Sus scrofa: one gene and its partner. The protein of the gene in region 1 purifies or fractionates together with the protein of each later gene. This does not show direct contact. Links are inferred from orthologs where the notes say so. Each region holds a gene or a part of one and is shown in the gene's direction. Other genes may lie near its edges.

Region 1 (3,803 bases):
TTGGAGCCAGTTTCCATGCTACAGTGGCGTGGGTTAAAGGCGGAACTGAATGAGGAGCATAGGCTTTATTCTGTCCACTTCCCAAAAGCTCCAGAGCCAATGGATTCAAGATTTTTTTTTCAGTGTAGTATAATGTTTGTAATTTACATGTTAATGCTACAAAATTCCTCACCCTCTCCCCCAGAATTTACACCCGGCTTCTTGTGTTATTTCCCCTCAAAGGCAGGGTCTCCTATAACTGCTGCCCCAAAGAAGGCCTTCTCTGTTTGTTGGTAATAAGCATTTTCCTCATTCGCAGTCAAAGGACTGATGTATATGAACAGAAACCAGACCTCAGGGAGACCTTATGGTAAAAGAAATGGGGTTCAGGTCATCTTTTTTGGCAGGCATGGGAAAAATTCCTTTCTGTGGGCCAAGGACAAAGAATCAGGGGAAAAGAAGGACTGACTTTGGTGGGTGGTAATTATAAATGAAACTGGGAATTGGATGGGCAAAAACAATACAGTGGGAGTTCCCGTCGTGGCTCAGGGGTTAACGAGTCCGACTAGGAACCATGAGGTTGTGGGTTCAATCCCTGGCCTCGCTCATTGGGTTAAGAGTCCTTGCTCAGTGAGCTATAGTGTAGGTTGCAGACGCGGCTCGGATCCCGCGTCGATGTAGCTGTGGTGTAGGCCAGTGGCTACAGCTCTAATTAGACCCCTAGCCTGGGAACCTCCATATGCCGTAGGATTGGCCCTAGAAAAGGCAAAAAGACAAAAAAAAAAAAAAAAAAAAAAAAAAAAGATACAGTGAAGAACCAGGTCCTTGGAGTTGTCCATCTTCCCTGTGCACTAGAATATGCTTGTCCCGCTGCTTGTCTCGGCCCCTCTCCTTCCTTCCATGCCTTGTCAAGGGCTAAGCTCTGTCAGTGTCTCCTGCTCCTCAGAGCTCCTTATCAGTCGTGTGCAAGCCAGAATACCTCCCTTCCCTTCCCTCCCCTCCCCTAAGGAAAACAGAATAAGTAACTCTCTTCCCCTGGCTCTGTACACACACCCAACACTTTCCTCTCCAAGATTTCTGGCCTCTGCTGATAGTCTCAACCCTGAGGAAGGAGGGGGAGAGGAATGATGTATCACCCTGCATCCCTGCCCCATGTTTCTGGGAATTGTTCTGGAACATCCTTTGCCAGCATCTTGTCCACTTCCACCCACAATCCTTCAAGGCCTCTGGTCACTTCCTACCCCAAAGCCAGAGAGCCTGGGAGAGGGGAGAGCCCTGGAGGAGCCACACTGTGTGGAAACAAACAGAGGTGGGTGTATGAGCGGCCATTTACCGGAATGGGTCTGTGTCAACCCCCTAGGTTCAGCAGCAATTTGGAAGGATGGGCAGATACAAGAGCAGAGGTGAGCTGAGATGGAAGAGAGAACCACGTCCCCACTTTAAGGCTGATGAGAACCAGGCAGATAGATGAAGTCACCTCCACACACACACACAATTCCTATTTCAGAGCTTGGGAAGTGGGGGCCCCTGTGAAATAACTCCAGTCAGGGAGGGTAGATGTCTTCCAGGGAATATATGAGGCTACCTTTGTCTGTTTGTTTAGTTCTGACAAGACAAGAACTGGTGGTTTTCATCTCTCATCCCAGGAAAACCTGAGCAGCTCATTCCCCAGCATCTTCCAGTCCCAGGCTCAACTAGCAGCGGGTGAAAGGGTTTGCTAATCACCCACTGCTCCATCCAGGCCAGTGACAAATGCTTCTCTCCTCTGGCAAGCCAGGTCATGGCTTCAGAGGACAGGGCTATGGGAACGCCTTAGGGGAGAGGAGAAAAAACCCTGAGAGGTTTAAAGCGGACCTTGGCAGAAATCTTAGTGGAATTTGCTTTGTGGTGCCCAGAAAAAGCAGGTTGGGGTTGGAGGATGTAGACAGAATTGTAGTCTCTAATTAAACATTCAGCAAGAGACTTAAAAGAGCCAAATGCTGGATAGAGCTGCTAAGGGTAGAATGGGGTGCAGGATCAATTCAAGCAGGAAAGACTCAGTTTAGACACAAGAAGGGACTTCTGGCAGTAAGGGGGCTTCAGCTCTCAAACTAAAATCATAGAAAGAGGTAGCAGAACACTTTTTTCCAAGTCTGAAATGTAGTCCTGCAGGGAGAATATAACTGTATCTTTGCCTAGAGAGGTGGATGATTTAAGTAGCTTCTCAAGCCCCGGGAGCTAGGTTGAGTTGTCACTTCGGAAGGAGGAAGGAGGGGTAGGAACTGCAGGTGTATTTTTCACTCTGTCTCAACAAACTCAACAAACTCAACACAGGGGCTGCTCTTTCTATGGTGCTGAAGCTCCTGAAATGAAGGCGCTAGATGAGTCTCTTCCCAGTAGTATATATTAGAGGAAGGTGCCAGGTGGGATAAGAAAGCAACAACGTAAACATTAGATGGCAAGGAGCACAGAGGCCGCCCTTCATTCCCTCCAGACATCGCTGATACCGGCCCTGCCTTTACCTCCTTCCTCTGGACACTCAAGGGCCATCCGGGTCTTGCTTACTTCAGGATGATAGGATTAAACTATTAGCCCCCGTATCTGTGTCCTTTGAAGGACAAAGTGGGGGTCATAGTGAAGAGAGACCTCCTGGAACTCCAGACACGGTCGCTTGGCTGAGGGGAGTGGGGACCGGGGGTTTCCGTGGAAACCTGCCTGAGGGGTCAGGCCTCTGTGGGCCTCCGATAGAACAGCCTTTTCCCACCCCCTTCTCAGCCTTCTTCGGGTTCTCAAAACTGGTCTAAATTAACAACTTAGGGGAAGGGACTAAGAAGTTTTATCCTTATCACCTTACCTCCAACCCTCCCCTAGGTAAAAGATGAGAAAAATATTCAAGAAGTGTTTGACCTGAGTGACTATGAGAAGTGTGAAGAGCTCCGGAAATCCAAGAGCAGGAGCAAGAAGAACCATAGCAAGTTCACTCTTGCCCACTCCAAACAGCCCGGGAACACGGTCCGTTCCCCCTACCACCTTGGCAACTGGATCATTGACGGGGCCCGGGGTGGGGGGGCTGGGGGGGCTTGGGAGAACACCTTCCCCTTTGGGATCTCTCAGCTCTCTTGGCGGAGATGCTGAATGATTGCTCTCCTGCCATGGCTTTTATCATTTAACCTGAGAATATTGTGGCCATTTCCTTCCATCCAGGCAAGCCAGCCTTTAAACCGTCCTTCCACAAAGATCCTCTCTCTCTCCCTCTCTCTGTCTGTCTGCCTCTCTTTCTCTCTGTCTCTCTCTCTGTCTTTCTGTCTCTCTCGCTCTCTCACACACACACACCTCTCTTGGGTGACAGTCCCTTTTCCCTGTACCCTGGTTGAAATTTTTAATCTAATTTCCCTTGTCTGTGGGAACCCAGGGACATTCTGTTTCTTCAAACATTTAAAGATTTTGGAGTGGAAAAATAAAAAAAAAAAAAAAAAAAAAAAAGATTTTGGAGTTCCCGTCATAGCTCAATGGAAACGAATCTGACTAGTATTCATGAGGATGCAGCTTCGATCCCTGGCCTTGCTCGGCAGGTTAAGGATCTGGCATGGCTGTGGTGTAGGCCGGCAGCTACAGCTCCAATGTGACCCCTAGCCTGGGAACCTCCATGTGCCACAAGTGCGGCCCTAAAAAAACAAACAAAAAAACATTTGCGGAGCTTTATTTTAGTATCTGTCCTTTACCTCCTCTGATTATCTCCAGGGCTGTATCAATATCCAGTACCCTTCTGAGATCCTCCTTGGTCATTTCTAAAACAACCTCCAAGCTCTGACATTTTGCAGGAATAGAGGTTGGTTTCCTTAAGT
Region 2 (4,515 bases), on another chromosome or scaffold:
GCCAGATCTGGTCCCTGCGCTGCACCTCTCTGACCTCAGCTGCCTTGGCTCTGGGCTAGCCACCTCAGCCTCCTTGGGCCATGAACACCCCAGGGCCTGTCCCCATGAGCTCTTTTCCCTTGCTGTTCCTTGTGCCTCCCTCTGATCAAGTGTTACTTTCTAAATCAGGCCTCCTCTGGCCCCACTTTGTTCATCTGCCTGCCTCCCTCTGATTTTCCTCCACATCTCTAATCACCACCTGACACTGTATCTATTTAGTAGCTGATTGTCTCCCCTTCCCCTGGTCCAAGCTCTGCAACAACATGGACTGTCCTGTTCATTGCTCTAAACTTAGAGCCCAGAGCAGTGCTCCTTACAGGGTAGATGCTCAATAAATACTTACACCAAGTGAAAATTCCAAAGTGCCACGCCCTTTCTCTGAATTCCTGTAATACAGGTCTGTATCACTCTTGTGGGACTTAGCTGAACTACTTTTATGCCAGTGGCAGCTGTTCCTCCACTATGAGTTACCTGAGGATGGGGGTCTGGGTCACAGCCTGGTTTGTGGTCCTCATTTCTGTCCTTCGTGCAACACTTTACACTTAGTCCTCTCATAGGGGCCTGATTTAAATCTCACAAAAGAGAGAGCAAGCTAGGGAAGGCAGTTATTATTAGCAGGGCTAGCGTCCCAGGTCTCCTGCCTTCTAGACCAGGCCTAATAAATATTTGTTGAATGAAGAAGGAGAGAGAGAGAAAAAAAAGAATTTCTGAGTCACCGTGGAATGAGGTAGCCCTACTGGGCAAATGGGTGGGTTCTCTGCAGCACATCTAAAAATACCCTCAACATGTAACATTTATTGGGCCGGGTTTTCTAATTTCTACTGTGTCGTCCTAATATCATTCCTGCAGCAGGTAGTTGTGAGAGCATCTTTACATGTCACCTGGTATACCGGCCTGTATACGTACGGCCGGTGCTCAGTGACTGGTGTGACCTGAGGCTGATTTTTTAGAGATCCGGCTCAAGTGCAGTGACTTGCTCCAGGTCCCACACGGAACAAGCGGCAGTGCTGGGATTCCATCTGAGGTTCGCTCACTACGCTCTCTCAGGGAAGGGCTGGCTCCGCGGGCCGCACCAGTTCCGGGTCCGCCGCAGGAGCAAGCGCGTGCACTGGGTGGGGCGGGGAGGGACTGACCCCTCCCAGCCCCAGTGCCTTCCGCATCCTCGCCCGGAGGCCTGCGGGCACCGTCCCTCTGCCACCACCCGCAGCTGCACCCACAGGACCCGGGTTGGATCTGGCTACACGCAGAAGGCCGCTCGGGGCCGGAGCTGCAGTGAGTACCCTCCCCAGGACCCCCGGACCCGCCCACCCGTCCCGCCGACCGCTGCGCCCCGCCCCGCTCGCAAGCCCCGCCCCTCACTTCCCCGTTCTCTGCTCCTCCCCCTCGCCGAGCTCCATACTTGGCGATCGCCGCGGCCCTGCGCGCTCATTGGCCGAGAGCCGGCTGCGTGGGGGGCGGGCCCAGGCTGGGCCGGGGCGGGGAAGGAAGGTGGCGGCGGCCCGGCGCGGGGGGAGGGGGGCGCTGACCCGGATGTTCACTCCTGGGCACCCGGGGAAGTGGAAGCGCCGGGCCCTGCTGCGGGGGGGAGAGCCACAGACGCCGGGACGGGACCGCCGCCGCCGCCGCCACCATGGTAAAGGCCCGACGCTCCCCTTCCCCCAGGCCTGGGAGCCCCACTGGAGCTCGCGTCCCCCTCCTCCCGCCCACCCCCGGCCCGGGAAGGGTGGGTTCACCGGGTGGGGGAGGGGCGAGGTCCCGGAGCCCAGGTAGACACCATCCTCATCCGCTCCAGAAGGGGCCACCGGCCTGGGCGGCTTAGGTGTGCAGCGACTCTGCCTCTTGCTCCTAGCCCCCGCTGTTGGCTCAAGCTAGCGTCTCATACTCCACCGCTGGGTGTAGGCTAATCTCCCCCATGGCCCAGGGTAGACCCTCCTGGACCCGTGGTCCAGGCCAGGCACCCCCTACAAGGACCCAGGCGTGGTCCTTCTTTCTCCTCTTGGCCCAGGCCAGGTCCCCATCCCCCGTCCCTACGGCCCAAGCTAGGCCGTCTTTATTTCCTCCCATAGCCCTGGCTAGGCCTCTGTCCCCTACCTCCCCTCTTCTCGGTGACCTCAGTCCAGACCCCCGTTAACCCGTCCTCCAGTGGCCTCAGCCCACATTGGTTCCTCTCTCCTGCATGACTTCAGCCTAAATCTTCTCTTCCCGCCGTGGTTTAAGTCTGGACCCCTCTTTTCCACCCCTGGCCCCGGCCTGGACGTCACACCGTCCCCCGTCCCCCGCCCCGATTCTCTTCTCCGGACTTCTCACCACTCTTGGCGTAGCTTGCGTCAGCCCCGCTCTCTCCTGGGCTTTACCCTCCCTCCTGGGCCCTGCTCCCTACCCAGGTGGTCCCCTCGCCTCTACCTGGGGCGAACCTTCTTTGCTACCACTGGGAAGCGAGAGCGGCTCTCCAGCTCGGGTGGGGATGGGGGTCCCGGGGCTGTGCCGTATCAGGTTGGAGGGGTGCCCCTTTTCTGGGAGGCCTCCTGGGAGCGAGCGAGGGCAGGGCGGGCATCCGTGTGCCCGGAAGGCAGCGGGGCGCTCTTCGGGCCCTTCCCCTGGCCGCCGCCTCGGTGCCGCGGGGTGCGGTACTGGCGGAGCGTCCGGCCGGACGACCAGGGTCCAGGGCGATGGGGCGTGAGCGGGTGCGAAGGGATGTGGGTGGGGGAGCCGGCGGCACAGGGATGAACGCACAATCGCCCTTGTGAGGCTGCCGCCCTTGGGGGCCCCCGGGCTCTGAGGCCACCAGACGGCCCGGACACGATGCACCCTAGCAGGCGCAGCCTCCCTTTCCCCCTCAACTGTCAGCTCGTGAGGGTTGGAACTGCTGATTATGGAGGTGCCACGGATCAGGTGAGCCAGACTCCGAGGGAGAGAGTTCGCTCGGCCTGTGCTGTTTGTTTTGGTAATGAGGGCAGGTGCTCTGGGGGCGCTCCGACTGGCCAGAGGTTTCACCTAGACCCTGACACGTGAGCCCTCTACCCTCCCTTCGCTTTGGAACCTTCTGCAGGGCAGGCCCAGCGCCCAGGTTGGAAGGGCCAGAGGGCTTCTCCCTCACGTGGCCAAGGAGCCTTTGGAGAGTGGACTGAGACTCAGGCCAGCCACCTGCTCCTGCCGGGTGCAGGCAGATGTTTACATGTGGACTTTGGGCCCCAAAGGGTTTTGAGGCTCTCAGTTCCTTGTTTAAGGAAGGGCTGTTGCTGCTGAACTAGGGTGACTAATTCAGAGTGCCTGAGTTTTTTCTTAATGCTTTCCTGTACGTTGATTTAAAACGTGCCCGCTGTAATTGGGCTTCTCTGATAGCATCAGCAGAGAATTGGCCACATGAGAAGTGGCCCAGCCCCAGGCCTGGATGGGGAAGGACTTCTCCAGGACAGTTTTGGGTGAGGACTTGAAAAGCAGAGTATAGATTTGCTGTCGGGGCAAAAGCAGGAGAGGATGGTTGGGTGGCCAGGTGGGGCTGCTGGAGGCGGCATTTCTGGCATCATAGGAGGGCTGGTGGTGGGGGAGGAGCCTCTTGCCACGTCTCTGAGTGCTTGAGTCTCCAAATGGGATGAGAAAATGCCTGTTTATGCCCAGGAGGGATATGATACATGAGGCTTCTCAAGAGTCCTGTATTTTGGTCTGATTTGGACAGTCTGAAAGTACTATGGAAAGGGTGGAGGAAAAAGGCAAACATTTCTTGATGTGTTGTTTTTTTTTTTTTTTTTTTTTTTTTTTTTTTCTGGCTTGAGTTTGTGTCTATGGAGTGTAGCTGCAGCTAGCCAGAGCCACAGCACTCGGTCGGCCGTCTGCCCTACCACAGCTCCGGCACGCCGATGTTAACTGACAGGCAGGATCGAACCGCACGCATGTTCTATCGGATCGTTAACACTGCGCCACGAGGCCTATGCCCACTAAAACTTGAGATAGTTGCTGTCCCCATTTTACAGGTGAAGAAGCTGAGGCTCCGGGTATGGGGTACCATACTCAAGATGTGCTCCATTGATGGAAGCACATCTGGCGGGCTCTAAGCTGTGTCCCTTCCATTGTCCCAGGCTGCTTTTGTGTTGAGGATGTGAAGGACACTGTAGAAAACATGATGATAGGTGCTCAGAGATGGCAAGAGAGCAGCACTTACTGACTTTTGGTTGTATACTGGGTCCTTTACATAGAGATGTCATTTCATAGGGAAACAGTAGGATGGTGATGCAGGCTTATTTAACGTGAGCTCTTTGAGGACAGGGATTTTTGCCTTGTCTTTTCCATGTCTGTGTCCCTCGGGCCCAGAACACTACCTGGCACTGAGGGAAACAGCTTGGAGTGCTCCCTTTTGGGGTGTGTCTTGAACTTAGCCTCTTGGATTTCACACTCATTCTCTCAATAACTTGTTCTTAGTATCCCCTAGGCTTTTAAGTAGTTTCTAACAGCTTATTATTCCGTTTATCCCTTACTTGA

Evidence for each region.
Region 2: the proteins of PLEKHO1 (region 1) and CAPZB purify together in Homo sapiens (co-immunoprecipitation; 3 studies listed by BioGRID and IntAct, counting the BioPlex papers as one, with this or other methods). This does not show direct contact. The link is inferred for Sus scrofa from reciprocal best matches to the Homo sapiens genes PLEKHO1 and CAPZB.

Annotation. Positions count from the first base shown.
Region 1 is NC_010446.5:98,927,698-98,931,500, reverse strand, and holds part of PLEKHO1 (pleckstrin homology domain-containing family O member 1), read left to right. Parts: intron 1-2,829; coding exon 2,830-2,970; intron 2,971-3,803. UniProt on the Homo sapiens protein: Plays a role in the regulation of the actin cytoskeleton through its interactions with actin capping protein (CP).
Region 2 is NC_010448.4:77,909,670-77,914,184, reverse strand, and holds the start of CAPZB (F-actin-capping protein subunit beta), read left to right. Parts: upstream 1-1,567; 5' UTR 1,568-1,669; coding exon 1,670-1,672; intron 1,673-4,515. UniProt on the Homo sapiens protein: F-actin-capping proteins bind in a Ca(2+)-independent manner to the fast growing ends of actin filaments (barbed end) thereby blocking the exchange of subunits at these ends.